6 linked regions of the Danio rerio genome follow. The main gene of each other region encodes a partner of the protein of the gene in region 5 in a complex. Links are inferred from orthologs where the notes say so. Each region holds a gene or a part of one and is shown on either strand. Other genes may lie near its edges. The genes, in order: polr1h, taf1b, tbp, polr2f, taf1a and taf1c.

Region 1 (4,086 bases), on a different chromosome or scaffold from region 5:
ATATTAAAAAAAAGCAACACAACTGCATTAGTGAAACAGAGACAGTTAGCGTGAAAAAAAGATAGCTGCACAAGTTAATGTGTATGCTTAAATCTAAAACATTTAAAGTATTTAAATATTTAAGTGTAATAAAAGAACAAGTAATGCGTGATGTTTATACACTTTTACCTTGAAAAAGTGGGGAATTGGCCATAATTTTGAAGTCATTGAAGTCGTTCAATTTCTTTTCATTCATTAATTTATTTTCTTGTCAGCTTAGTCCCTTTATTAATCCGGGGTCGCCACAGCGGAATGAACCATCAACTTATCCAGCAAGTTTTTACGCAGCGGATGCCCTTCCAGCCACAACCGATCTCTGGGAAACATCCACACACACATTCACACACACACTCATAAACTACAGACAATTTAGCCTACCCAATTCACCTGTACAACATGTCTTTGGACTGTGGGGGAAACCGGAGCACCCGGAGGAAACCCACGCGAAGGCAGGGAGAACATGCAAACTCCACACAGAAACACCAACTGAGCCGAGGTTCGAACCAGCGACCTTCTTGCTGTGAGGCGACAGCACTGCCTCGCCCAATTTCTATTCAGCTTGGTTTTTTTTAAACTGCGGTCACCACAGATGAATGAACCACCAACTTATCCAGCAGTTTTTTACGCAGCAGATGCCCTTCCAGCCTGAACCATCACTGGAAAACATCCACACACACTCGTTCACACACATACACTACAGACAATTTAGCATACGCAATTCACCTATAGCGCATGTGATGTCTTTGGACTGCGGGGGAAACCGAAGAACCTGGAGGAAACCCACACAACACAGGAAGAACATGAAAACTCCACACAGTAATGCCAACTGACCCCGCCTAGGCTCAAACCAGTGACCTTCTTGCTGTGAGGCGAACGTGCTACCCACTGCGCCACCGCGTCACCAATTTTGAAGTCATTTCAAATGTAATTGCATTAAATTACATAAAATAGGCTGCTGCATAGTTTCTACAACAAATCTGACAAAAAATGCATATAACCTTAGCTTAATGTTCAGTGGAAATGTTTAATTTAAGGTTCCCACTTTTACACACGTTGATCAGTTTAAGATTTGAAAGTGCACTTGTGTGTCTGCCTTTATTATTGATCAAGTGGTAGAGGTTGATATAACATTTAGAATGTAAGTAACATTTAGACTTTAGCAGTACTAAAAATAGTTTTTAAAACTAGTAATAATCGTTCTAAATAATTATTTTATTTTAAAATAATAATTATTATTATAATAATTTAAAATAATAATTATATTATTCTAATAATTATTTATTTTTTGCAGTAATATCAAAGCTAAAACTTAAAACTATGGTATTGAATCTAATTGTAATGTTCCCAAAAAGTACAAGCCATTCTCATAACCATGTTCTTTGTGTGACTGAAATGTAGGCAATGAATGACCAAGGCCAAGGTGAGAAATACACTCTGTCTTTAAAAAAGGGGAGGAGACCAACAGAAACTCAGAGTTTAGAGAATAAAACCGGCTCCTGACCAGGTTAGGTTCATAGAGTAAGTTACCACGGTAACTGACTCTGAGTTAAAGGGTAAAGTCTAGATCGGATACACGGCTGGCCGAAAGTGCGATCTGCACATCAATATAGCAGCATTTTGTTATGACACTGTATAACAATAATGAATATTTGTACAATACTGTGACGGTGGGGTTTAGGGTTGGGCTGGGGGAAGGCGTTAAAAAATACAATTTATTGTATAATTTAATAGGTAACGTAAATTATACCCAGTACAACTACTGTTTCTACATTACTTTGTTGGTTGAGTTTAGGGTTGGGGTGAGGGTAGATGTTAATAAAATACAATAAACGGGGGATTTAATAAATAATATAAATAATTCTCTTCACCTTCCAGCCGTAAACATATTCGATCTAGCAACAACCAAGTCAAAGTTACCTCTCTTTCAGAAACAGGCTTGACTTACCCTGCTTTCTCGAGTTTGACAAACCTGCCATTTTAAAACGGAAAACCCAAAATTTCTCTCATTTCAGGGTTAAACATACTCTGAGCTATTACTTAACTTCCTTTCTGAAACAGGGCCAATATATAATCTCATAAAATATTATATAAATTACTTATGACATATTAATCTTACTCTCACCTTGAACAGAGATTTTGAAGGAGCATCGTGGGCAGGTGATAGTATTCAGCCTGCTGGGTAGTGGAAGAATGTTTCCACATTCAGGACAAAAGTCGACATCTCCTCTAAAACACGACATTTCTTAAAGGAGAGAAAAAAATGTTAGTAACTAGACTTTAGTCACCAATAACAAAAATTAACCATAGTACAATAACACAAATAATATAAAAACATGGTAATTTTAGTAAATCACGTAAGAACTACAAACTCACCATGTTTTGCTACACTACCCATAGTTTATTGGTTTTTGACCAAAACTAGTGATTTAAATCGTTTTTTTTATTAAAAAATAAATTGGAGACTACTATAGTATTGCAGTATTATATATTGTATTGTAAAGTTTCCTGTAATAAATTAATAATCTATAAAAACTACACACGCACACATACGTACATACATTTTTTATATAACGTTAATCAAAACTAGAAACTTACTTATAAAAGCGCCAACACGGCGGTCTTAAATATTACCAGATGCAAAAATCTTGCGATATGTACGCTAGTTATAGTAACAAATACAAACCAAATACAAACTTCTCTACAAACTGAGAGGTTTTTACTCAAGGCAGTTCCACATGTTGGGGTCCTTCGTCAAAACAGTAGATTCGTCGCGAGTTGATGACGTTGTAGACAATCTATCTGGCAGGTGCAGTCAAATCCAACTGCTTCAAACAGTGTTTCGAGGTATTTGCGATTATTTAATACTATTAAAAACCACAATCGACATGAGAAGTGATAATACACTTTATATTCCGTCATAAAACATTCAGCAATGTAATGTCGTAGTGTTTTGACCACACGCTGCCTATTTTGGGCTAATGGATTAGCTAACTAAGTGCTAATGTGTTACGTCTTAAATCGTTTGTTAGTTTAAAGCGACATAACTGATTAATTACGGGTGTGTGGGCTAGCATAAAACATTATCTATGAATTAAGTTTTTTTTTGCTATTGTAGTGCTGGAGAATGGGGTTTTATTCTTTAATATATTGTCTTGATTAATAGTTGTTGAAAAGCTACAAGTCTCTAGCTTTTGTGTATATATTACACAAACAAATATAATCGAATACAATTTAAGCAAACACGCTTTTCTAAATCACGTGTATGTCAAAATATTGTGTTCCGTAATCAATTAATTTTGTTTGTTTATTTATTTGTTTAAAAAAAAAAAACTTCTGGCAAAAGGAGAAATTTGTTCTGACTGTGGTTTCACTGAATGATATTGTAGTGTGTGTCTTTTTATCATGGTAAAACAAATTTAATGATATTTCATATTTTTTTTCTCAGAAAAAAATAACAATTAAATAGGACTAATGTAGAGCTGGGCCGATAAACGATATTGTATCGAATTGCGATACAATTTATGTCACAACAATGATAAGCTCTGGACCTTTTTACTCTGTATTGTGTATCTATATACTCTAAATCTATATTACACAGCAGAAATGTGCAAACAATGGGAATATAAACGTGCGTTGATATTAAGCATGGGACAATAGCAGTTTTCAAGGTATACCATAGTTTGACTGGTTTTAATTAATTTCGACCAAATTGTTCTGCTTTACTGTTCCGAAGGTATGTGTGAGATTTTTTATTTACATTTTTTTTTTTTAGGACAACAGTATCTCCAGCAGAAAAGATATCCAAAGATGCCGCTATAAATTGTAAAGAAATCTGTGTTTTGAAACTAATAAAGACATCAGAAGTCAATGATTCATTTGAATTATTTAGCCAGACATGTTTACTGCTCCAAAATACTTTGTTTTACAAAATAAAATGTATTGTTTTCAGATGGGAAATAAACTCAGATATTTAAAAATAATATATTTTAGAGCAGTAATCACAATGTTGTGAAAGTGGGATATTTTTATCCAAGGTTATCATACCGT
Region 2 (4,257 bases), about 23 Mb from region 5:
ATTTAATTTTATGGTTTAATCACAGATAAGGTCTCTCTTCTCAGTCTTGAGCAGCTCAAGGAAAGTGCCTGTTTCCTTTTAGCCAACTTCAGGTGCCGTGAACAGCAGGAAGCAGCAGAGTCGTGATGGGAAAGGCAGAGAGTGCATGTAATATTTATATACCAGATAAGCAAGTGAGCTAGACTCTGTATAATTTTCCCTTTTCGCCCACAGCCTCCCACAATCTCTATCCACGCTATGCGGCGTCTGTGGAGGACAAGTGGGGATGTAAAACGTGCCACACTGTAGGGAGAGCAATCCGCTGTTTCAGTGTGAAGAACAAAACCCACACCTGCAGTTACTGACTGTTCCTGATTTCCATTGCCAACAATGCTGTGTTTTGCATAGAGAACACGAGGAAACGCATGGGAGGCAGTAAACCATGAAATTGGCCCAGTGGTGAAAGAAGCAGCTTTTCTTCAAAGAGGTGGGGAGGAGGAAAGGAAGCATTGTTGATGGGCACAATTTATTTTATTTTTGTTACATTGCACATTTAAGCCACAATTGCATTAACTGGAACTTTATATATTTATAGTTTAAATGTTAAATATGAGGCATCTTAAATTTGCTAGGGTTTTTAACAACAAACAATAGAAAGGTCATGATGAGCAAACGAGAATATGAACACTATTTTGTATTTGCCTACTATTTGTTATAATTTATTAAAGAATAACAATAGAAATTCTGACTCAAGCAGGCTGATTGTAATCCAGGTAATGAGTAGCCTACCACCATTTACTGTCAGTTTTATCTAGCTATGGATTTTTGCGCCATCTACTGTCCATTGACTGTGACACATCTTTGTTTTGCAGGAGAGACATGCATTTACAATAAAACAAGTAAAATAAATGTATAATTTCTATATAAAAATAATTATGAATCGCAATTTATGTATCCAAGATAAGTTAATAGAGAATTCATGATAGAGTCAATACTTTATTATTATTATTATTATTATTATTATTACTTATCTGTCAAGCCTAAAAATAATTTAGTTACATTCCAGACAATATAAATGTTTAACAACATAATATAGAGCAAATACATAAAATAATTATATGGGATAATATAATTCCTACAATGTGGCAATGTGCAAATTGGGGGCTATGCCTTGTTATCTAAACTTGAAGTATGAATTATTATTATTATTATTATTATTATTTTGATTCACATATATTTATACAATATAATTACATTTCATTAATAAAATAGATGTTTAAAATTATACGTGTAAATGAGTTGAGTTATACTGTAAACGAAGAAAAAAATAAACATCAAAATTGTAATTAACATGCACATATACATATTACACAATATAGTAAAATGAAATAGCCCTACCAAAGGGTTCTAGATCAGTGGGCCAGGGCCTACTGTAAAATATTACGCTGAACAAACGAGTGACTTTTATTATGAAAAACGTATAGTCGGCCATGTTGAAAGCGAGTATGCTCACGCTGAAAACAGAAAACAAAAATTGTCTCATGTTTTGAAGTTCAGCTTACGTTTACACCATGGACGAACAAATTACTGTAAGTATCTCTAGTGTGTATTTTGTCAGTCTGCAGTGTTATGTGGAAATTCGTTATACTCTGTGAGCTGCGGTGCTGTTTCTCCAGGGTGGATATAGTGAGCCATGCGGACAGTGCGCTGCTGTGGACTGGGGAGTGTCAGACGAGGGTCAGTTCTTCTGTAAGAGCTGCCACAATGTCATCGAGGTGGGTTAATAGATATTTTAATATATAGTACATTAATACATAGACAGAAATCACTTTTTTTTTACATATGTATAGTTCTTCCAATTCCTATGAGCTTGTTTAAATGCATGGACAGGTATGAAGTTGTCGTATGTATTATAATTTACTCACTTTTCTGCTGATTTTCATTATGCTGCTGACTTTAATAGTTATATTAACATTTAATTTAATGATTGGTTAATTAATTTAAAAAAAATCATTAAACAAAAAGCTAATTAAAGCAGGAGTTGGGTAAATAAATATTACTAATTATTATCATACTCCCCCGGTTGATTGATTTATTTTTATTGAAAGCAGACATAAATGAAAACTTTTCATTTTATGAAAACTAAAATAGTATTTTAGTCACGTAAAGCTTATGCAGGTTTTATGAATGGGTTACATGCACAGAAGTGTTGTTCAGCCGAATCTTCAGGCAAACGATTGATGTGACTAATTTCAATTGCATAAGGGACCTTTTACAGCATCGATAATGTAGATTTTTATTTAGTTTAACAAAAAAAAAAAAACATCAGTAAATAGCGCTTTTCTGCCCAGCCTGCTCTACTGAGCTGAAGTTAGTTTTATAATCACATTGGTTCATTGTTTAACACTAGCCCCTTTCACACATACAGACCTTTCCGGAAAATTGGCGGCAATTTTCCGGCAGGTCCTTTTTGAAAATACCGGTAAATTCGTTCTGGCTATTTTCCGGAAAGAGAAGTTGTAACATTACCGGCAATTTGCCGGAATGCTGCGCTGTGTGAATGCAGAAGGAAGATTCCCGTAATAAGCGCGTGCACGTCTAGAACGTGCTGACGTGAGACGTCTGCTTTAGCCAATCACAACAGTCAGACGCATTTACGTCCGCGGGGTTTGTGAGAATAAAAGCCTTTGAATATTTTTCCAGACACATTTAGCTGCTAGAAGTTAGTCAGATCACGTTTATATGTTCTTCTTAATGCCAACTGTGTAAATAATCATCGATGAGATGCTTATGATAAGCCGTTGTTTGTTTACCTTCAAGCTTTGCGTGTGCCTGTGAAACAGCCTGTGAGCGCCTGCACACGCAGATATTATGAACATCTCGACATGCGAAAGTGATCCTGCGAAAGTTGTTCACAATATTGATCATCCACAGAGTTTGTAATTTAGTCAAATGTTTACAAACACAAGCGCAGCCGTTTAAAGCTCATTTGTGGTGAATGATGTCAGAATTTACCGGTATTTTGGAATGGATGTGTGAATGCTCTTTTCCGGAAAATTTCCGTAACGTCCTTACCTGTGTGAACAGGGCTTTTTTGAATATACCGGTAAAGTCGTTCCGGAAATTTTCCGGATATTTACCGGTATCACTGTGTGAAAGGGGCTACTCACAATCTGTGAAGTGCTCCTATATTGTTTACCATGCTACGCTGAATATTCAGCCTGAAATAGCATGTAAATATGGCTTAGTAATAAGTGTAATTCCTGCATGCCACCGGCCAACCACTAAGCATACAGTAGTCGCTGTAGGACAAATCGTGTGAAAGAGTGAGACCAGCGATCCTTGCATGCATTAAATATTGTACATCATGACAAGTTTTGCTTGCGACAGAACTGAAAATGTGCTAGATATATAATACAGTATGTCGTTCGGAATTGTAGTTTTATAAGTACTATAAAGTTTTCTAACTGGCAAATGACACAATCTAGTGATTGTCTGCTGTCAACTTTAAGCTGCGCGTTCATGATTTCAGGAGTCCTGGCTTGGGATGGCTGGGGTTTTCTAAGATATGCTAACGGATAGCATTTTGGCAGATTACCTCCTGCACCTTTAAACTGACAAACAAAACAAAAACGTTTGGTGTAAGACTTGCTGAAGAAGCTTTATGGCTCATTTCAGGAGAACAAAACCAATTTTTAAAAAAAAACAGCATCTGAAAACGTGTAATATAATAGAAATCTGCAGGCACAAATTTATAGTGCTATAAAAGAAACACTTTATGATGACTGTTTTGTCTACAGTGTCTCATCTTAATGGCATGATGTTATAAGCTTTACACACCTAAAGCATGTTGCTTGTTTTAACATCTTCTAGAAAATAAGGGAGGTAGAGGATGTTACCAGCCTTCATCATAAGCATGGCAGGATCTCAATAGTCAGGAAACCCAAGAAGAAAAAACATGGTCAGTCCAGCTTTACTTACTGTTTTTATTCTTGTTGATCATTTCTAACAGGATATTGTGCTAAAATGAAAAATTGAACCTGACGCCTCTTATGTCTGTTTTCAGATTCTGAAAGGGAGTGGTTGGTCTGTGAGGGATTTCAGTTCATCCTCAAACACCAGGCCAAGGCTTTGGTCAGTCTAGGTGTTTGTATGAAGTTTGAGGTTAGTGCTCTTCGTTTACTGAATCAAATTAAGTAGTTTGCACAGTATTCTTATGTTGTTAGATTTTATATTTGGTACATTGATCTCTTATGTAATTATGTAATTTTCTGTATA
Region 3 (3,500 bases), on a different chromosome or scaffold from region 5:
AGGTACTATCTGTGCCATTTCAAATGTAACTATGACCTCACCTGTGAGTACGACTTTGCCTGAAACAAATATTAAAAGAACGATTCTGGGTTTGATCATTCTGTAGATTAACCCTGGAAATAACTCCGGTTCATAGCTGGGGAGGAAATATCAGCAGTATATTAGAGTTTAGATCACATTTATCAGTCAGATTCCAATTTCTAGTCAAAATAGTGCTCACCAAGAAATAACAAACACACACAGCAAATACTTCAGTATAATAGAAGCAAACACTTATTTTTCTAGAAATGTCACTTTTTTTATGATCATAAAGACATGCAGCATATATCAGGCTACTAAAAACAAGCTCATTTATTTTTCTCTTCTAATACTGGTAACATTTAAAACATGTTCTGTCTCCAGTGACAAAGCATAACTGCACTTTGGGCATCCCAAGTTCAAATCCTGGTATGAGGAAATTTCTCTATCCAGTGCCCCTTTTCCTGCCAAACTTCTCTTCCCATCTAACTATTGTCCAATCACAATAAGTGAGAGGAACAAAAGCATGTTAATAATAATAATAGTTTGATTTTATTCAGGGTCACTAGTAGTCAATTTGCATTGTATTTAAGGTTCTGTAAAGTGCTTTTAAATGTGGGTTTTTAATTCTGACTTTTCCCACCAGAGTCTCCGCTTTGTTTCTCCATGTTTAAAAACAATATCTAGATTCTACACTGTAAAAAAAAAAAAAAAAAAAAAAAGTTTTTTTTGCTGCAAAGCCTTTTTTTAGTAGACTTAACTTTCAACCCAAAATACTGCACAAGACTCAAAACTTCTTAAAGCAGGTTGCCTTAATTTTAATTTGAGTCAACCTTGTAGGATATATCCTATTGGAGTTGCAAATGTGATAGAACCTGCCATGTAGGACTGAAAACTAAACTAAACAAATAAATGTATAAACCAAATAAAAAGTTTTTTTCTGACAGTTTAACTTGTGCCCCCAATTGATGCGCATTGTAGGTTTACAAATTACTTGAAATAAAGTAAGAAAAAAAAATCAAACTGAAATCACGTAGTATGAAATAGAAATTCAAATAAATTCAGAAAAACTCAAAGTAGTTTAAATAATCAACAAATTAATAACAAACTAATCAAAACCAAAAGACAAACCTGCTAAACTGCTGGTGGGTAAGCACCAGGCCCTCTAATCGGATGGGAAACTTGACATCGCAGCTCCCCACCATGTTCTGGATTTTGAAGTCTAAGAATTTGGCAGGGAAACCCAACTTCTGCACCACTCTGGCATATTTCCTAGCTGCCAATCGAGACTGTTCCTCACTGTGGCAGGAAGTTCACACAAGAAAGGTAAACTCACATACTGCTGTTTGTTCATCAAGAATGTAGAAAGACACAACAGCAAGTGTGCAGGTGACATTCATACCTTTTGGCTCCTGTGCACACCATCTTCCCCGAGCTGAAGATAAGCGCTGTTGTTCTGGGTTCTCGTATTCTCATGATGACGGCAGCAAAACGCTGAAAGAGTTATCAATGGATGTACAAAGTTTGTTATTGTAATGAAACTTGAAATAATATAAAACTTTGTTAATGATGTAGATTTTCTTTGTTATTTTGTTTTACTCTGTATATGGTTTGATTTTGTTGAATGCATTAAGTTGTGGTTGGCGTCTTTAATCATGACACAGAGATTACTGAGCCTACCGAATATATGGTGCATATAGTAATGGACATGAAGCAAAGTCATGGAACGCTAGGTGAAAAATGCCAAAAAGGCACAAGCATATGTCTGATTCACGGATTCCCCGTTTATGTTTTAACTCCTGGTATAAGGGAAAATAAGACTATTTTAATTTATTTAATTTATTAGGCTGGCTTGTGTAGCAAGCCAGACTACTGTTATCCTATTAAACTTATTATTATTATTATTAGGCTGGCTTGAGAAACAAGCCAGACTACTGAAATCCTATTTAAACTTATTATTTTTTTTATATATTATTCTTCTTCTTCTGAGACTAAAATTCAAAATCTATCTCCTCCTAGAGCTTTCGAGCTATGACCACCAAACTCACACCAGACCTCCAAACTATTCTGACTCGGTATGCCATATCTTTTCCGACTGATCCGACTTTCGATTTTCCGAAAAACGTCCCGGGACCGTCGGAAAAATCCCATAGACTTAACATTGGACCAAACTTTGTGACCTCATAACTCTGCGTCAGACTGTCGCACAGAACTCTAACTGGGCTCATTTAACTCAGACTATCAAACTGCCAATGACTGATCACCTTTAAACTTTCTAGCCACGCCCTAGCAACCACTTTTGGACCCTAGAAACTGTCCCATAGACTTCCATTCAAAAGACTCTCATTGACTTAACATGGGATCAAACTTTGTGAGGTCATAACTCTGCATCAGACTGTCCTACAGACTAATGGCTGAGCTCATTTAACTCAGACTACCAAACTGCCAATAACTGATGAGCTTTTAACTTTCTAGCCACACCCTAACTACCAGATACTGCACCCTAGCAACAACTGTCCCATAGACTTTTATTGCAAAAGACTGTCATTGACTTAACAATAGATCTAACTTTGTGACCTCAAAACTATCTATCTATCCTTTTTTCAAAATAGATAGATAGATCTCTATCTATCTATCTATCTATCTATCTATCTATCTATCTATCTATCTATCTATCTATCTATCTATCTATCTATCTATCTATCAATCTATCAATCTATCTATCTATCTATCTATCTATCTATCTATCTATCTATCTATCTATCTATCAATCTATCTATCTATCTATCTATCTATTTATAAACTACTTTAATCTATCTATCTATCTACCTATCTATCTATCTATCTATCTATCTATTTATAAACTACTTTAATCTATCTATCTATCTATCTACCTATCTATCTATCTATCTATCTATCTATCTATCTATCTATATATCTATCTATCTATCTATCTATCTATCTATCTATCTATCTATCTATCTATCTATCTATCTATCTATAAACTGCTTTAATCTATCTATCTAGCTATCTATCTATCTATCTATCTATCTATCTATCTATCTATCTATCTATCTATCTATCTATCTATCTATCTATCTATCTATCTATCTATCTATCTATCTATCTATCTATAAACTGCTTTAATCTATCTATCTATCTATCTATCTATCTATCTATCTATCTATCTATCTATCTATCTATCTATCTATCTATCTATCTATCTATCTATAAACTGCTTTAATCTATCTATCTATCTATCTATCTATCTATCTATCTATCTATCTATCTATCTATCTATCTATCTATCTATCTATCTATCTATCTATAAACTACTTTAATCTATCTATCTATCTATCTATCTATCTATCTATCTATCTATCTATCTATCTATCTATCTATCTATCTATCTATCTATCTATCTATAAACTACTTTAATCTATCTATCTATCTATCTATCTATCTATCTATCTATCTATCTA
Region 4 (4,004 bases), on a different chromosome or scaffold from region 5:
GGGTTTTGCACTTTAATGCTCCTCTTGAAATGAATGCTAATCAAACGGATAAGAGGCAGATCATTTTGATTGTTTTAGGGAAAAATTTCAAAAGTAAGTTCATGGAAAGTTGAAAACAAAATATTTTCTTAAGAATTTTTAGATATTTGGACTAGAAACGAGAGAAAGCAAAGTAAGAAAAGCATTTGTTTCTCCACAGAAATCAGTCAAACAGAGCCAATCAAACTCTCTAGTGAAACTGTATTATCACAATATTTATCACAGAAAAATAAAACCTCACAATATCAGACACCAAGATCAGCAAGTTAGGCGAAACCAAAGCAGTGCTTCAATCCACAGTTAAACAGAGGACAGAGAAAAGGACACATGAACAGAGTATGAGCGTTCAGATTAATGCTGCGAGATGATTCAGAGATTGAGGCATTGCAGTGTGCATCTCCATGTTTGGTAATGTTGTGTATTTGGCAGTGTGTGTGTGTGTGTTGAGTGGTGATTGTGGATCGGTCACTCACGCAATCTGCAGAGCTCGTGTTCCCAGCACTCGCGCTCTCTCGTATTTGGTCATGTATTGGGTGGTGATTCTCTTCTGATTGGCCTGCTGTCCTTCACCTGCCGGCAGGATCTGAACATTCTCTTGGTCCTCCTACACACACACACACACACACACACACACACACACACACACACATACAAAACATTGGACAAAAATAAACACAAAACACACACAAACACATACACGATACACACAATTAAACAAAACACACACACACACACATATATACATACACAACACAGAAACAAATGCATGCTCAAAACACACAAGCATGCACACACCCACACAAATATGCATAATGTACACAAATGCTAGGACAAAATACAAACACAAAAGCATGCACAACACACACATGAGCAAGCACAAAACACGCATACACAAACACTATACTATAGTGGAGTACTTGATTTGATCTGTTGTGGTGATTCTACTATATCATTCTACTATATTGGCATCACGGTGGCGCTGTGGGTAGCACAAGCGCCTCACAGAAAGAAAGTTGCTGGTTCGAGTCCCGGCTGGGTCAGTTGGCATCTCTGTGTGGAGTTTGCATGTTCTCCCATGTTGGCGTGGGTTTCCTCCAAACACATGCACTATAGGGGAATTGATCAACTAAACTGGCCACAGTGTATGAGTTTGTGTGGGTGTTTCCCATACACATATGCTGTGTAAAACATATGCTGGATAAGTTAGCGGTTCATTCCGCAGAATAATAAAGAGACTAAGCCGAACAGAGAATGAATGAATGTATTGTACTTTAGTAATATAAACAAATAAGCCAATACTTGTGTTTTTACTACAGTAAATTGTAGTGTATTGAAGTATAATATACTCCATAGTTGTAGAAATCTATTGTATACTACAGTTATTCTCAGTTCACTATAGTTAATATTACAGTATGTTGCAGCATTCATTAATAACCAGTTGAAAAATACTATAATATATACAGCAAAATACTACAGTGTGGCTCAAATTATTAAACTGTAACTCTGTGGTATTTCTCATGTGGAAATAAGAGAAATCTTTGACTATAATACTCCATTTCTCAATGATTACCAGGCAGAATATAAGCAAGTATTTCTCTGAAAGTGTGATCTTACATCTTCCACATTCTCCAGATCATCCAGAGGCTCTTCATCTTCAACATCATCGAAATCTCCGTCATCAAAACTAAACAAACAAACAAACAAACTCTGAGATAAACAAACACGTCATCGACAATAAATCACAAATCAAGTCTTCGCTATATCGGGTAAATAAGACTCAGCTGTCAGGTCTGTGTAAGTCACATTCATCGTTATATATGTTGTGTCGCAGTATGGAAATGATCGCATGTTGTTGTTTTCCACATTCACACACTTTAAACGTTCGAAAACAGTAAAACATTGAGCGCAACACACGCGTTTGAAACTCACTTGTCCTCGTTATCCGACATTATTAGTGTTCTGCGTCTCCTACCCCGGTTTAATAGGTAATTTTTTAAGAAAAATGTTATGTCTGGAATCTCACAGCTAGTTTACCGCAGCGCGACTCCAAGCGTGGAAGGATTTTCCGGTGTTGCCGCAGCGTCACTGTCCGTGCAGAAACACGATCCACAGCACTGACGTTCCGCAAACACGCAAATCGTAAAGCAGTAAAAAAAGACACAATGTAGGAAATGTTTTTATTTATTTATTATTTTTTTATTAACAAGAACCAGCATGTACAGTTTTCTTATACAATACAATCACTTTACATTTCTTAACAAGACAATGTAGGAAATGTGTGATGGTTTATAAAACAAAGACGGGATGCTAAAAAGACGTTTCAACGCTGTAAAACTTTTGGTTATAAATTTTCAAATAAATCCCCATATCTAATATTGTCCTGTTCTAGCCGTAACAGCAAACAGAGTAGCTGTACTTTGCTATTTATTAAATTACTTAATAAAATGTATTTTACGTATACCCCCCAACCGTCACAGTACTGTAAAAATATTAATTGTTCTTATCACAGATATTGATGTGCATATCCGCAGCTGAATCCTATCTAGACTTTACCCTGTTCTAGCATCAAATTGACATATTTTTACATTTAAATGTCTAACAAGACAAACATATGAAGATAAAAAGACAACAGAACTGAACGAGACTATAAAATATAGGCTACTATGTCTACTTATTTGGGAATGCGAACTTGATCTGGTTCACACTCCTACACCTAGTATATGACCAAAGCGACGGCGTTCTTCTTCTTCTTCTTCTTCTTATAATTTTACGGCGGTTGACATCCAGCGTTTTGGTGCATTACCGCCACCTTCAGCTCTGCACTGTGGACTAGAGGTTAGGTTTACAGACTAATCATTCCCCCCCACTTCCCTCTTTAAGCGACGGCGTTGGTGTTACCCGCCATTGAAATAGAAGAAAAAAGAGGTGAAGAGTGTCTTGTGACTTCACAAAACTCCTCCCAAAATACAGGTTTTTCCAGTTTTCAAGAAGGAAAAGACTATCTTCGACACGGTAAACATTTGTTTTAAATAATCAATTTGTAAAATATGCAAATGTATAGATGTAACTGCGATGTTTGGAAGAAATTGTTTATTTTGGATGTATTCAGTGTGTAGTTGCAATCAAGCCTTAGATTTGGTTGGTTTTACTTTCAGGTGTGTTTGATAACAAAAACAAAAATTGAATGTAGCCTAGGCCTATTCTATAACCTATATCTGAATGTGCAGTGTCAGCTTGTTTTAAAGAAATGTAAATGTAAAACTTTTACAGCTGTTGAACTTTGTTGTCCTCCTTTCATTAAACATGTTCACTTTGTTATAAATAGGCCTATTTGATTTAATCACTATACAAGAGCGCTGTTTACCGCATATGTTCAGGGCAAAAAAGTGTAAGTAGATGTTCATATAGACTACACAAACATTAACATTGGTAACAGAGTATAAAAAAGTTACAAATCAATATATAACTTGCTAAGTAAAATCTGTGTAATCTATGACAGGGTGATAAAGAGACAATCATCAGGTGCAAATAGAAAGTTGATGGACTGAAGACTGAAGAAAAAACAGAGAATCAACATGTCCGGCAGAGAAAGCAGAGGTCAGAGTTTATTCATCCAAACCGGCTATTTCCTAAAGTCAAAAACTAACCATCACAAAACCAAAAGAAAACAGCTCATAAAGATGAAGACGTGGCTTTTTAAAATAAAGATGTTAGAATTATACACTATGAAATGGCTTTATATGGTTTGAGCAATTATCTGTCATAATGTTCACTACATGTTTACCGTTTTCACTGTGATAAAATAATAATGTCCTGTAGTAACACTCCAGTGCTGATCTTTCTAACATGTTTTTTAATTTAATGTTTTATAGCTGTTGTTCCTGGTTCTGCTCACAAGAGAAGTCAGAGCATAGAGCTAGACGCACCCAAAAGTAAGTCCTAATATTTTTAACACTGATAAGTAG
Region 5 (3,500 bases):
CATCTTTTGTACGGGGATGTAAACATGTTTTAATCAGCTGTAAATATGGCCAATTTCCCACTGCAGTCAGAAATCACCTGGACTTCCTGCAGTTCTCCTGGACTTGATTTGCAGTTTCAGTAACTTCAGTACTGGCTTCCCGAGGGAGAGCAGGAAGTTGGCGCTTGGATTGTACGAATTCATATGAATTAGCCACTAAATCAAAAAGCTATGAATTGCTGTGAGATTGTGTTGTCCTCAGGATCCAGCTCTATGTTTTATGTTGATTGTATTAAAACAAAGAAAACAATCTGAAGTTGTTGTTTTTAAGTTATATATACCATGATTTTACCAGGCCAGCCCACTTGGGATTAGATTTTCCTCCATGTGGCCCCTGAGCTAAAATGAGGTTGACACCCTTGAGCTAAACAATCCGTGCTCTGACATCAAAAGAAAATGGGTGCAGGCCAAAAGTGTTAGTGTGAAAGCACCCTGAGTGTTTGTTTGAACCAGATCCTTTGGTTAAAGGGTCACGAAACACCAAAACACATGTGTTTGAGCTGTTGACAGTGGTATATGTGTCCCACACTGCTAAAAACACTATCAGGACACCTATATTTCACTAAAAAGTGTAAATTGGTTGTTTTTTGCGTTATTTTAAGCAAATTCGTACTTCCGGTTTGAAACTAATTTTTGAAGCTGCGTCACGGTCATGACATAATAGCGTGTATTCCAGCGTGCAGACTGGACGTCTGTGCCTGTGAGTATAGCTGCGTCCCAAATGGCACACTATACACTATGCACTCATGCACTATGTACTTATGCACTTACACACTCAACAGGATAGTATATGTATGTAGTGTCGTCCCAAATGGCACACTAATGTTTTTTTTACTAAACGGAAATTCAAACCGTTTCCCTGATGACGTTTGACGGTTGCCAAATTAGTGAAATAAACGACCGAATTATCAAATAATACCTATCGTGAGAATTGCCGCATTCACCATCGGGAGGCGCTATAATCACTCTCGTAGGAGAATTTTGCTTTCACTATCCAAAATAAATAAAGTTATCCAACATGTGCGTCCGATAGCTCCGCCCTTTCCGCTACGTAAGCAAACCTGCGGTCGTTGAGTGCGTGAAGTGTCCATCAATACACACTTCATTTTAGCGGCTGAATGAGTGCATCATCCGGGTAATTAAAGTGCACTTATTATTTTAAGAGTTTTCAGTGTGAACACACTACTTACACTATTTATACTACAAAATGGCGTAGAATAGTGCATAAGTATGCGATTTGGGACGCAGCTTGTGTCTTATTACGTCTTACAGTGTGTTGCATTAATGCATGAGTAAGGCTTGGTTCAAACCAATCAGCGCGCTCTATTGTGCAACTTCATTAATATTCATTACTGTCACAGTGTTTAGACGACAGAGACGCCACGTTGTGTTGGCAAAACAAGCGTGAAGTGTTGCTTTTATAGTTTGCTGCAGTTAAGTTTTGTTTTCATTTTCTCTCTGTGAGAGCTCAGCTGGAGTCACGTGTGGATTAACAGTGTACGCGACGCTCGACAACAATAACTTACGTGTCTAAGGAGGATTATTGTTTACCTGAGAGCTGTTCTCATCTGCAAACGCTGAAATCCGGATACGCTTGTAGTCTTCTCTTCATAAAGACGCGGCTCTAGTTGCTGGTGATTGTCCTGTCTCTACAGATTTGGTAAGTGAGCGACCAGTGCTCTTTGTTTATTCAGTTTGTTCGTATCGAACTAAGTTAACTATTGCACAGAGTGTAAACATGTTAGCACTACAACCAAACTTTAACCTCATGTAGGGTTTTTACCGCATTTTGTAACCGGAATAACACAAGCGGCTTTCTGACACTACCTGCCGTGTGCATCTAAGTTTCCGGGAAATGCGGAGGTTTTTTTCTCTCATTCGCCGTGCGGTATCAAACATTGCATGAAAAATACACGCTTAGAGCAGTTCCTCCAATCAAATATAACGTGTGTCGAGAGGGGCATGAATGAATTCCCTGAATGAAAGAGCCAAACTGCAGTTAAAGTCCAACGTTTAATAATTTGGCAAATAATTCGACTACAGATGTCCATGTAGGTTAAACACCATCACTTTCTATTTTGACTGAAACTCGCGCGTGCCCAAATAGACACTCCCACACCCTCCCACTTTAGTTCCTCCGACACTCCCCCCTAAACAGAGCTGGACACGCCCACTTTTCTGACTTTTTCCAAAGTAGAGGTGTGAAAACACCCTGCTGAAACGAGGGGGTTTCATGGCCCTTTAAGTGTGCAACCCCACTTACCTAGATTGCCCATGAGTTGTAACAGTATATCGACATTGATCTCTCCTCTGGAGGCTGTTATCAGTCTCACACTATTTTTGTCTATTTTCTGAATGTTGTGATAACACCATGGTGGAGTTGTTCTGTTATTAATTCAGCAAACAGGATTGTAAATATAATGAGTTGTTGCTCTCTCTCATTCACTGTGCTCTGAGTTTACCAACTATGACGACTTCTGCTGCTGAGAAACCCACAAATGTGAAAAGGCTCAACTATACACTCGTGGAAGTTTTGGACCTGCTCTACAGTGATATACTCAGCTGTTTTCATTGATGATCCTCAGACAGTCCTTCTTGATGATCATCATAAGTTTATGGTTGTCCATCCAGTCTTTGAGGCTGAGGAAGTCTCTGAAGTGTAAAGGTACCCAGAGCGAACGCCGCACCTTCCACTCCTTCTGTATAATCTCCTGCCACTTCCTGAAATCAACGTCAACACAACCAATGAGCAACAAAACACAACTGACACCTACTATTTATACAGCTGAATGCAAAAATATACACCCTCCTGTGAATATTTCCCAAATGCTGTTTAATTTAGACCCAACTTCCTAGCCCATTCTGTGGAACCTAATCTGCGCTCAAGTATTTTTGAAGCCATATCAATATACAGATGAAGCTGAGAGGATGGTACATTTGAGAAGTGTTCAGATCTACTACAGGGTTCAACGCTAAGGATTTTTTATACGGGTCCAATCAGGCCATTGGTTGAGATTTTTACTTAACAAAATTTTCACTGGCCCCACCAAAAAAAAAAACTAAAAAGTTAATAGCTATTTCTTAGCCACATATTTTAAATAATGGCAAAATTATGCCTGTGAATCTAGAATTTAAACATTTTAAATATGTCAATAAATGAACAATGAGCAAAATTCTAGATTTTATGCAAATGAAAGAGCGGTATGAAAAATGTGCTGGTATTTTAATGCAATTGTAAATAATTTTTATAAAAATGGCTTGCCAAACTGACAACTGTTTTTTGTTTTAATTTTTTCAGTTTCTAAATTTTGTTCTAATGTAATTGTCTGCTTCTAATACTTTAGAAACAGACGTTTTCATTGTTTACAGCCTCATTGTTTAATTTTGCCGCCATGTTGCCATCTTTTCGCTGTACTGGTTGTACAGGTTACAAAAAAAAAAAAAACGTGCTCAACTTTACT
Region 6 (3,500 bases), on a different chromosome or scaffold from region 5:
CAAAAGACCCTGCATTTATCACATGAAAAAAAATAATGCACGTTTTGTAGTTTGTAGTCATGCCTGTGTGATTTCTCAGATCTGAATTGAAATTTGCAAAACAGTCGGTGCATTTCTCAAAACAACACAAACAAATAGCAAAACACCATGGATGACCAGCAAAAGCCAGTCTCTTGCTCAAAATTCATAGTTCATCTCTCAAATTTTCTCATTTAGCGACTTTGATATGAAGATGAAGTTGATAATATGTTGAATATGTTGAGTTGCTCAAACTTTTAATGCAAATACATTAAGCCATAACAATATATATTGTAATTTGACAGTTGTACTTAAGTTGAAAATGTATTAAAAAAACAATTATTTAAATCACAAATAAATAAAATAAATTATAAATAAATAAAAATAAAACCATGTTTTAATGTGAATAGATATTTTAATAATTATTATAAGATTCTATTATTATTATTTTACTATAAGTTGACCTACAAATGTTGATTTGAGTCAATGAACTTATTAGAAAAATTACCAGTCCATAATTTTCTTAATTATTCCTATAATAAAAATAATCAGGAACATGTTCACTTTCACTGTAATAATTAGGTTTGTATAATGAGCACTTCAGACCAACCTGTAAGACACCATGTTAACATATGCTACACAGGTAATACTTGAACTGCTACTTCATACAGTCCATATTTAATGCAAATCAAAACTTATTAATCTTCAGCTGTTTTAAATGTTTGCAGGACGTTTCTGACCTGCAGCAGGGCTGTTCAGTCTCTTCTGAGCGATGCGTCTCTTGTGCGGCAGCTGAAGGTTCAGGTGGCTTAGACTGTCTTTTGGACACAAAAGCTTTTGAATGGGTCCTTGAGTCTGACAAGCATGTTGCCTGCCACCTAGATGACACAAAACAAGAGATGATATGGGTTGTTGCATTTTCACTGTCAACACACGACAAAAAAAAAACTAATTAGTATTACCATCACTTAAAATGCAGAAAACATGAACTCCTTGTTATAAAAATTTCAAAACTGTCTTACGGTGTGACCATTTCAAGCATAGTTCAATAAATTACAGCTCTTATAAATTAAAAAGAAATCATTCATTAATAAATACCTCTGATCTTGTTTTACAAGTGTCTTTTTTAGTAACTCGCAATTGTCAAGCCATGTCCTTTGGTGTGACACTATTCACCTTATTCTCCGTGGACGAGCGGGCACAGCCATTTCAATCATTTTGCCTCGAGACTTCCGGTTTCATTCACTTCCATTCATTTTAGATGTTAAAAACAGCTCGTTTTGCAGCTTGATGTTGCAAACCGATATTTGTTTTTTGTCTTATTCTATTTTGTGTGTATAGTCATGCAAACAGTTGTTTGTCGAGCAAGTAGTTTGACCGTTTTCTACCATTTAATATTCCTAGTCATTTCTCCCATAGGAAGCTACATCGGAAGTCCCAAAACAATTGCAAAAACGAGCGCACTTTAACATGCTATCTTTAAATTGGGCAAGTCCATGGAAAATTTAAATTAGCTGAAGGACCCCATTCAAGATCATGTCACTGAAGGCCCCTTGTGAAGCCCCTGACGTGCAACTGTTAATTTTGTGTCTCAGAATTGATCACATTCATTCATTTACTTTCCTTCAGCTTAGTCCCTTTATTTATCAGGGGTCATCACAGTGGAATGAACCGCCAACTTGGCACATAATAATGCATAATGATGATAATAATGCACAGCAATTTGCTTTGAGTGTAATGATTTGCCATGAAGGAACATGTTATGCAATACAATATGCAACTGTTGTTAACAAGCCCAAAGCTCTCACCCGTGTACTGCAGTAACATGATTTCCTGCGACCTCTGAGCTCCCAGCAGCACTTTGCAGCTTTGACTCTGGGATTTTGGAGGTAAAGCGCAGGTGTATATTGGTGGAAAGTCCATCATGTGGTCCCATTTCAGCATAGGAATACTGGGAACCCGCTCGTCCATGATGTAGGAGGAAAACTGCAAGCGAGGAAATAGGAAGTTATTTTCTTTTGTACAGAGAAGGGATTAGATAGATGTGCTGAAATTCAATTAAAGCCTCGATAAAATAGCTCTTATTTTTCTAAGCCAGTGATCCCCAACCCCCCAGGCTGCAATGGATCAATTGGTACTGGGCTGCACAAGAACTCATTCATTATTTCCGTTTTATTTATTATTTGAGTCTGAACAATCTTTTATTTTGACAGTATTCTCTCGGTTATATCTAGGGCACTTGAGTACCAAAATTTAACCCACATCCTAGAAAAAGCAGACGTCTTAGGAAAGTTTCTTTGCAAAGGGGAATCCAGCATGCCTGTGAAAGATGATCAACTGGTGGAGATCGCAAATGACGGCGGCTTTAGAGTCCATTCACATATCGAGTTTTTTCTGTGTGCAAGTTCGTTATGAAATATACACATTTCGGTAGACTAATTACTTCAGACAAACACAGAACAACCAAACACTGCAGTGCTGCTTAATTTTCTCCATAAATAAGCAATGTTTTGTCAGCTCGTCATGGGCCACGGTAAAATTATCAAGCGTCGACTGGTCCGCAGTGATAAAAGGCTTGACTAAAAAGGGACCACCGCTCTAAGCAACATCAGTACATTTGTGCAAGTAGTTCTTATTGTGTGTATTACCTCTTACAGATTGCTAGCTCATTTGTAAGTAACTAATGTTGGCTAACTAAATTAAATACTTATTGCATCATTATAATTGTGTTTAAATTACTTTTCCAATTACTTTGTCTGAAAAGTCTCCTAATTAATCAATAAGTAATTTAATCACTCAATACTGCTTAACTCATAAACATTAACTTGTAGACATCAATGCACAGACAAATGTACAGAATTGAAAGAGTTATTTATGTTGACCTCTTAGTTTAAAAAAAGGTAAACATTATGTATAAAATAATAAAAAAAAAAAGAGTTTCATAAGACCAATCCATATTTCATACATATCATATATTGGCTTAAATTCCTCACTCGTTTCGAAAGCACATACAATTGTCGGAAAAAATGGGTTATTATGCAAAATATGCGAATAAAAAAATACATCTAAATTTACTCTGTTTCTCTAAATTGATTTATACAGAACTGATTATTTATTTACAGTACTTCAGACAAGTACATAAAGTAATTTAATTGCCTAAAAAATGAAAAATAATTCCTTAATTGTTCACTGGAAAAGTCATTTAATTACAGTAACTAGTTACTTTCTAACTTTGTAGGTCACTTTGAACGAAAGCGTCAGCTAAACCAGTGTTTCTCAACCACGTTCCAGGAGGACCACCAGCTCTGCACATTTTCCATGTCTCCTTAATCAAACACACCTAATTCAGATCATCGGCTCATTAGCAGAGACTGAAATACCTGTAATGGGTGTGACAAAGGAGACATCCAAAACATGCAGTGTTGATGATCCTCCAGGAACTAAATGACTAACTGTATATGTAAACAGTATAATGTGTGTTT

What was found.
Region 1: taf1a (region 5) and polr1h share a complex: the UniProt entries of both Homo sapiens proteins name them as parts of the pol I pre-initiation complex. The link is inferred for Danio rerio from reciprocal best matches to the Homo sapiens genes TAF1A and POLR1H.
Region 2: taf1a (region 5) and taf1b share a complex: the UniProt entries of both Homo sapiens proteins name them as parts of the transcription factor SL1/TIF-IB complex. The link is inferred for Danio rerio from reciprocal best matches to the Homo sapiens genes TAF1A and TAF1B.
Region 3: taf1a (region 5) and tbp share a complex: the UniProt entries of both Homo sapiens proteins name them as parts of the transcription factor SL1/TIF-IB complex. The link is inferred for Danio rerio from reciprocal best matches to the Homo sapiens genes TAF1A and TBP.
Region 4: taf1a (region 5) and polr2f share a complex: the UniProt entries of both Homo sapiens proteins name them as parts of the pol I pre-initiation complex. The link is inferred for Danio rerio from reciprocal best matches to the Homo sapiens genes TAF1A and POLR2F.
Region 6: taf1a (region 5) and taf1c share a complex: the UniProt entries of both Homo sapiens proteins name them as parts of the transcription factor SL1/TIF-IB complex. The link is inferred for Danio rerio from reciprocal best matches to the Homo sapiens genes TAF1A and TAF1C.

What each region holds. Positions count from the first base shown.
Region 1 is NC_133194.1:29,753,805-29,757,890, forward strand, and holds the start of polr1h (DNA-directed RNA polymerase I subunit RPA12), read right to left. Parts: upstream 2,801-4,086; 5' UTR 2,760-2,800; exon of another isoform or gene 2,635-2,759; intron 2,282-2,634; 5' UTR 2,280-2,281; coding exon 2,162-2,279; intron 1-2,161. UniProt on the Homo sapiens protein: Core component of RNA polymerase I (Pol I), a DNA-dependent RNA polymerase which synthesizes ribosomal RNA precursors using the four ribonucleoside triphosphates as substrates. Can mediate Pol I proofreading of the nascent RNA transcript.
Region 2 is NC_133195.1:32,286,268-32,290,524, reverse strand, and holds the start of taf1b (TATA box-binding protein-associated factor RNA polymerase I subunit B), read left to right. Parts: upstream 1-1,457; 5' UTR 1,458-1,550; coding exon of another isoform or gene 1,551-1,568; intron 1,569-1,655; coding exon of another isoform or gene 1,656-1,754; intron 1,755-3,852; coding exon of another isoform or gene 3,853-3,940; intron 3,941-4,045; coding exon of another isoform or gene 4,046-4,143; 5' UTR 4,144-4,257. UniProt on the Homo sapiens protein: Component of RNA polymerase I core factor complex that acts as a GTF2B/TFIIB-like factor and plays a key role in multiple steps during transcription initiation such as pre-initiation complex (PIC) assembly and postpolymerase recruitment events in polymerase I (Pol I) transcription.
Region 3 is NC_133188.1:27,589,467-27,592,966, forward strand, and holds part of tbp (TATA-box-binding protein), read right to left. Parts: intron 1,513-3,500; coding exon 1,421-1,512; intron 1,318-1,420; coding exon 1,150-1,317; intron 137-1,149; coding exon 42-136; intron 1-41. UniProt on the Homo sapiens protein: The TFIID basal transcription factor complex plays a major role in the initiation of RNA polymerase II (Pol II)-dependent transcription.
Region 4 is NC_133178.1:1,278,189-1,282,192, forward strand, and holds the start of polr2f (DNA-directed RNA polymerases I, II, and III subunit RPABC2), read right to left. Parts: upstream 2,801-4,004; 5' UTR 2,778-2,800; intron 2,121-2,777; 5' UTR 1,989-2,120; coding exon 1,969-1,988; intron 1,724-1,968; coding exon 1,654-1,723; intron 644-1,653; coding exon 513-643; intron 1-512. Other genes in the region: uncharacterized protein, read left to right, coding at 3,615-3,636, 3,912-3,971. UniProt on the Homo sapiens protein: DNA-dependent RNA polymerase catalyzes the transcription of DNA into RNA using the four ribonucleoside triphosphates as substrates.
Region 5 is NC_133195.1:55,153,363-55,156,862, reverse strand, and holds part of taf1a (TATA box-binding protein-associated factor RNA polymerase I subunit A), read right to left. Parts: intron 2,761-3,500; coding exon 2,603-2,760; intron 1-2,602. UniProt on the Homo sapiens protein: Component of the transcription factor SL1/TIF-IB complex, which is involved in the assembly of the PIC (pre-initiation complex) during RNA polymerase I-dependent transcription.
Region 6 is NC_133196.1:7,074,665-7,078,164, forward strand, and holds part of taf1c (TATA box-binding protein-associated factor RNA polymerase I subunit C), read right to left. Parts: intron 2,005-3,500; coding exon 1,827-2,004; intron 897-1,826; coding exon 759-896; exon of another isoform or gene 688-758; intron 1-687. UniProt on the Homo sapiens protein: Component of the transcription factor SL1/TIF-IB complex, which is involved in the assembly of the PIC (pre-initiation complex) during RNA polymerase I-dependent transcription.